Linked DNA regions of Danio rerio. The protein of the gene in region 1 interacts with the protein of each later gene in a biochemical or structural test. Links are inferred from orthologs where the notes say so. Each region holds a gene or a part of one and is shown on either strand. Other genes may lie near its edges.

What was found.
Region 2: the proteins of uso1 (region 1) and stx5a form a complex in vitro, tested with the Homo sapiens proteins (2 studies listed by BioGRID). The link is inferred for Danio rerio from reciprocal best matches to the Homo sapiens genes USO1 and STX5.

Annotation. Positions count from the first base shown.
Region 1 is NC_133176.1:28,145,142-28,148,798, reverse strand, and holds part of uso1 (general vesicular transport factor p115), read right to left. Parts: intron 3,122-3,657; coding exon 3,003-3,121; intron 2,329-3,002; coding exon 2,147-2,328; intron 1,925-2,146; coding exon 1,803-1,924; intron 1,446-1,802; coding exon 1,307-1,445; intron 1,175-1,306; coding exon 1,011-1,174; intron 1-1,010. UniProt on the Homo sapiens protein: General vesicular transport factor required for intercisternal transport in the Golgi stack; it is required for transcytotic fusion and/or subsequent binding of the vesicles to the target membrane.
Region 2 is NC_133189.1:9,156,820-9,160,476, reverse strand, and holds part of stx5a (syntaxin-5a), read right to left. Parts: intron 3,524-3,657; coding exon 3,453-3,523; intron 3,266-3,452; coding exon 3,149-3,265; intron 2,959-3,148; coding exon 2,902-2,958; intron 557-2,901; coding exon 475-556; intron 1-474. UniProt on the Homo sapiens protein: Mediates endoplasmic reticulum to Golgi transport.

The DNA.
Region 1 (3,657 bases):
GAGAACCTCAGACTAGTTCTTCTGCCTGGAACACCTCGCTAGGTAGGCATCCAGGAGACATCCGAAACAGATGCCCGAGCCACCTCAGTTGACTTCTCTCAATGTGGAGGAGCAGCGGCTCTACTCTGAGCTCCTCCCGGGTGACATAGCTCCTCACCCTATCTATATGGGTGTGGCCTGCCACCCTGCGAGGGAAACTCATTTCGGGCGCTTGGATCCAAGATCTTGTGCTTTCGGTTATGACCCAAAGCTCATGACCATAGGTGAGAGTAGGAATGTAGGTTGACCGGTAAATCGAAAGCTTTGCATTTCAGCTCAGCTCCTTTTTTACCACAACGGACCGGTACATCGACCACATTACTGCTGCCGCTGCACCAATCCGCCTGTCAATCTCACGCTCCATCCTTCCCTCATTCGTGAACAAAACCCCAAGATATTTGAACTCCACCTGGGGTAAGATCAACCTGGAGATGGCAAACCACCTTTTTCCGGTGGAGCTTCGTGGCCTTGAGGGTGCTCATTATAATCCAAGCCGCATCACATTCGGCAGCAAACTGCCAAAGTGCATCCTGAAGGCCCATGTTCGATGAAGCCAACAGAACAACATCATCTGTGATTAACAGAGATGAGATCCAATGGTCCTCGAACCGTACCCCCTCCAGCCCAAGGCTACGCTCTGTCAGCAATTCCGTTCATAATTTTTATGGACAGAATTTCAAAGGACAGCCCTACTGGAGTCCAAAATGCACTGGAAACAAGTCCACCCTCTGGTCCCCCTTCATAAAAATGGGAACCACCACCCCAATTGCCCAGTACAGAGGCACTGTCCCCGACCACCATGTGATATTGTAGAGACGTGTCAGCCAAGACGCCCCCAGTTTAATTGTATTTTTTTTTTTTTTTAAATGCTAAATGCATGAATAAAAATGCAAATGGTTTCATATTAGGGTAACATACATTATAGCCATATATATAAAAAAATCTATTTCAGGAAACAGACACACACATACCAGGCTGGTTATTAGAGAGTCCTTCTCAGTCAGTTGTGTCTGCAATAGCTGGTTTTGTCTTTGCACTTCCTCGAGTCGTTCTCTGAGCTGACTTAGCTCTTCTGGCTGGAGGCCATTGACATGAGCTGCCTCTGCCTGATTACCTGCCTGCTGCGTATCTTTACCTGCACAATGTGAAGAAGGAGTGAACATACGTTACAGTGATTCTGTTAAAATTGGTTTAAGAGCCACATACTATGGATTTCTATTTAAACACTTCTAATTCAATGGACATTTATCTGATGTTTGCTCGGTACCTAGTTTAAGTTTGAGGATGTTGTACTGATCTTTGTGCTGCTGGATCTGAGAAAGCTGTTGTGTTATGGTGCTCTCCAAATTTTCAGTCTGGGATGTAAGAGCAGTCACTTGTTTTTTCAGCTCGTTTATCTGAGAATCCTGCAATTAAAGAGGGATAAAGAGGGAGGTTTAACAAAGTATGCCTGTTTTTTTTTTTTTTTAGAAATCCTCTTCCAGAAAGCTTGCAGATGAAGGAGAAAGCACTGTTTAATAAGGAGAAACCCATTTTCTTAAGACCTATATTGCTTTTAATACAGAAAAATTGCATTTCAATATGGTTAAGTGTATCAGCTTACAGACGACAATCAAATACTCAAAGAAATAATCATTTAATAAACTCACAGCATGATTACTTATAGAATATTTATAGAAACAAGTCTTCTAATAACACTCAGTGACACTTATTTCAATTTTCAATGAGTGAATAGGATATTGAATTGTTTGGTGCATTTTTACCTGTTCTCTGATCAACTCTTTGTATTGGGTTACAATGCTGTCATGTTGCTCTAGTGTTTTCTTAACCTCTTCCTCCTTTTTCTCTTCTTCGCTTGACCTTAGCACTGCTTTTGTTATCATACCTGTGAACAATCAAAGAGCACCAGATTACGAAAATAGAAACCTTCTGGCCCATCCTAAAGGGTTGCAGTAGTCAAATTTCACATAGTGTTGTGTCTTTAAGGCTGTTTAAAATGTCTGTTTAAAAGGGCTTTTTTTTTAACCTTTTGTGAGTTTAATTTAGCCATTTAGCCACTTAAAAGATCAGCTTCACAAGGGTAAACAAATTCAAATATGACACTTACCTTCCAACTCTTTGACAAGTTTGGTAAATTCATGATCAAACAGCATGTGTTCTGGTGTGGAAAAGGCTGGCTGAGGTTTCTGAGCCGCCCGGGAATATAATTCGTGTTTCGTTATAAAGGCCAATTTCTCCACAAAGTTTTCCTTTCCTATGCGCTTCTCAATCAACTGCTTCAGCTTTTCTCTGTGAACAGAAAAAAAGATATTTTGTTAAACAGAGTTTGAGGTAGAACTGTAAATAATGAGAGAGAGCATTTTTAAGTTTAGTAGTTATAAATATATGTGATATTTTAGGGGAAAGTTCACCCAAACATAAACATTTACACACTATTAACTCACATTTAAGTGGTGTCAAACTTTTAGTTTCTTTATTCTGGTAAATGCAAAAGAATACATTTTAAAGAATGCTGAAAACTAGTAAAAAAATTGACATCCATAGTATGAAAAACTTACTTCAGCTATCTTTAAATTATCTTCTTTTTTGTTCAACAGAAGAAAGTCAATAATGGGAGAACTTTAAGGTTTGGGTCAACCATCTCTTTAACATCAATTTAACATCAAAACAAATTTTGCTTAGTTCTGCAAATGAGTTATATTTTTAAATTTGCTTTCTATTGCTCCATGTTCATTACTTAAAGGTAAAAGTTCTACCACCTGCCATTTTATTTGGTTCTCTATCATTATATTAAACACTGTTAAAGGACATAGCATTTAATAATTACTACTTTAATTACCTAAATGAAGAGGAAATAAAATAAGACTGATTGTGACTAATTTGAAATCAACTGCCAGCCCTAGTCATAAGACTCGTCAACAAAAGGAAGCGTTGAAGGAAACAAAGCAAGAAAGTAAACATACTTAGTGTAGTTCTCTAAACTGTTGTCGTTATAGTAGATACAAATCCCCAACAACAGAGCACAGAGACCCTGAACCAGTCGCTCATCCTCACCCAGATTTTCTGAGATTTGTCCTGTCAACTGAACACAGAATTTAAGGAAACAAAACAAAATAAATACTAAATAAACAATAATAATAAATAAAAAAAGCGAACATTCGAACATGTATATTTGATCTTTAGTTAATTTATTTGTCTTCCCTTTGTACAAGTGGAGGTTTCATAGCATCTGCTTGTATAAAGTTTTTTAGACATGTTTTCTTGATTTTCGCTTTGTTTGTTATTAACAGGGAATAGTTATGTTTTTTGTCTGACACAGTGCATAATTTAAACAAAATAGTGATCATTAAAATAAATAAGCAGTGTTAAAGTTGCTTTTAAATGTCTTTAAAATCCTAGGTCACTTTTATTTAAAAAAAAAGAAACTAAATTATTACTTAGTAACTTTTTAAGAAAAGTAATGTGAAAGATTGTCTTGTTATTTTTGTTTCTTTGTTTTAAGGCCTAAGATTATATATCACTTTTAAAGTACAAAAAAATGTAGATAGACTTCAGTGGATTTACTGTGAAGTTTCTCATAGAAATACGATTAGTACAGTAAAGTAAAATTAAAGTAAA
Region 2 (3,657 bases), on another chromosome or scaffold:
AAGAGTAAAAGTAAAGAGGTTGAATGGAGGAGACTCATGTTTTATCCTTACTGCATTTAAGGGAAGCATTCAGTTTTTTCTTTCACAAAGTCCGCTATGTAAATCGCAAATGCACCATGGCATGACTCTTAAATGTAATGCAAGATGAGACTCTGATTGGTTTAATGCACAATATGCTCAAAACACACCCATAACTAATTAAGAGAATAAGCTCAACCCTGTTAGACCATGCACTGGGGCGCAAAACATATTTTTTCGACCTTAAAATAGCAAAATGTGGGTTCGGACACACCATGCGCTTTAGACTTTGTGCTTGGATCATCAAAATAGAGCCCTAGGAGAGTTGCAAAATAGGCTTATGTTTAAAAAAGTCAAGTTTAAATCTGAACTAACAAAAATTAAAAAAAGAAAAAAAGGTCAAACCTAATAACAACAGAAAAAAACGAACATGACAGTACTGAGGAAAAGACGTACTGAAGTTATTGGCGAGTAAAGGAGAGGCAGAGACAGGAGCCTGAGAGAAATGCTCTCTTCTGCTGCGCTGCTGCTTCAGATTCTGAAGAAAAAGAAGAAAAAAAAAACATTATAATAATTCACTCATTAAATTCAAGTAGTATACAACAGAATACAGCTTGCCTGAAAGCTAAAACAAACATGAGGACAATGATAAGAGATAAATCGGTCAAAGTTTTATTTTTTTCGTTTTTAGTCAGTCTGCCCCGTTTTTTGCTTTCTATTGTTTTTGGCATCTTCACATTGATCATAATTAAAGTGCATTGGCTGCCTCCAATTTGAAATCTAAAAGTTCATTGTGAAAAAGCAAATGGACATCTAGTTTGTGAAGTCATGTTCCCTATTAATCTTTTATTGAGTTAAAAATGCTTTTCAAAAATGGCGACAAGAATTGTCAAAACTAACCATAAGGCTTCTTTTACACTGTGCCTCGCCCTGGTTATCATCATTCTAACCACCACTTTTAACTCCTGGGGACTGCACTATGAAGCTAGATTAGCTGGATAGCCAGTTATGCTTCTGTTTAAATGACACCATGAACATAACAAAGGTAGCTCAGCTGCTCCATAATACCAAAGATTTATTTGAGTCAAGCTGCCTTTATGTTACCTAAAACCCAAGACTGGTGCATCGCTTAGTTGGTTAGCAAACTAATCCATCTTCATGGTACAGGCCCCGAGGTCATGTCGAACCAATAACAAGAAATGAGCATCATGTAACCAGCAGTCAGTGAGAAAAAAGCAAGTAATATTAAAAGATGTAAAGCGTGTAAACTGGAGTGATTAGGAGATGTTCAGATGACAAACTTTGCTTTTTTGTAATTGATGACACGTTAACATACGCCGTGTAAAAGGTTACCTGTTGTTCGTCTAATCAGCAACATTGACAATGCAAATGAAAACATTGGATCGCACTTTATTTTGATGTTCCGTTTGTTGAATTTAAGTTACATTGCATCTACATGCCAACTGATTCTCATTAGATTATAAGTAGACAGTTAGGTCGGGGTTGGGGTTAATGTAAGTTGACATGTACTTGCCATGTTTCCTATAGTCAGTTAAATGTCTGTTGAAGGAGCATATCAACAGATATTAAGCAGACAGTCTACTAATACTAAAATGGACCATCAAAATAAAGTGTTACCAAACATTGACACTGTGTTTAGGACTGTTTAGTGCGAAATGTCTGTTAACGAATACCCCAGATTATTCATTAAAGCCAGGTGTATTAAGAGTAGTGTGAAACTTGATTATAGATAACCCAGGATTCAGTTTATCCAGGATGTAGGATGACTACAGGTTAACGGTTTCAAGCGTAAAAAGCGGTATAGATGCACTGTAAACACTTTTGTATTGTGTAACTAAAGCACAGAATAAACATAAAAAAAAAAACATCACAGAAATGATGACATTATTAAATTATTAAGTGCTACAATTGCCACTTAGCAATGGACCTTTTTCACAAGGATGTTATGACCTATATAATGGTCATCATAAACTGAAATACAGGAATATTTTGACTTTTAAAAAATTATAATACGCAAGTACATTTATATGCATTTCCGCATGTACACAACCTGACAAAAGTCTTGTCGCCTATCCAAGTTTTAGGAACAAGAAATAATAACTTGACTTCTAGTTCTTCTAGTTAATTTTCTACCAGAAGTGGCTTATATAAAATGCAAAGGCCTCTAGATTACGCTTAATTTACCAAAATAAAATATGATCATGCTTTGATTTTTAATCAGTGAATTAGGACAGTAAGTTCCGACTTTGCTTAAACAAAAGACTTGTCACTTAACAGAAATAATGTACAGTATACAATATAAAGCCATGGTTTACTCCATGATGCAGAGGCTGAAGTATGAAAAGGATCGATATCCTGCTGATCTTTCACACATCTCGCTATCTCTCACGCCCCCATACTGAATGTAACCCCAAACCATGATTTTTCCTTCACCAAACTTGACTGATTTCTGTGAGATCAACTAGAAGTTGAGTTATTATTTGTTGCTCTTAATACTGGGATGAACAACAAGACTTTTGTCAGGTAGTGCATTATTTAATCTTTGCATCAAATTACCTCTTGTGCGTTTGTAATGCAGCGTGTATGAGCAGAACAGTAAATTTGACGTTGTTCTCTCTTCTGGCTGCTGTTATCAGTCTCACATAATTTTTTTGCTTATTCTGAAAGTTTTGATAACACCATTGTTGAGTCTTTATTTTATTATTTCAACAAATAGTTTGTTGAAATAATAACCATTCACTGAGCTCTAGGTTTACCCAAATGACGACTTCCGCTACTTAGAAATCCAGAAATATGAATTGAATCCACACAAAAAAAAAGCAAAAAGAAAAAAAAAAGAAATGATAAATACATAAAACTCACCTCTGTTCTCACTTCCAGAACTGACTTGAAATCATTGGACATTGATGCCAGCTTAGACTGCAACACAAACATTCCCAGATAAGACTGTTTACATGGTGAACTGTATTGCGTCAGAAAAATGAAAGGTGTGGCGGCTTGTCAAGTCATCTGATGTCAAGCAAAACGAGATCCACCACCCCTACTGTCTACAGCGCAGGAAATGTAAGATAAACACAGAAAGAGTGGAATGTCAGATAGGAAAGTGTACCTGCAATGAGACGACAATTGTGTTGGAATGTGTCTGTATGTGGCGGCCATTTTGCCCACTGCGGGATCGCACAAGGTCTTGCAGCTGTGCTATCTGCTTATTCAGACTGTTGATATCCTGATGCGAGGGACAGACAGATAAAAAAAGAGACTGCATCAGATCACTGCTAGAGGCTTGATCTTATACAGGATTCTAGTAAACAAAATTATCAACACTTGCCATCTTTAACATCAATGTAAGGACAAGCAGGTACTGAGATGTTTTTCATTGCACTGGATATGGAGAATGACAAGTCTTTACCAACCTGTTTAATGATGTATGTTAGCTCCTCAATCTCCACTGCTTTATCATCAAACAAAGACTTCCTTTTGGCCACTAAAAATGAATGGAGAATAAAACATTACATTGACAGCAGACATGAACAATGCAATATCTAACAGTTACAACAATATCTGGTTATTACAAACAGGTCAACATTACAAAGATTGGATTTTTTTTTTGTTGGTAAA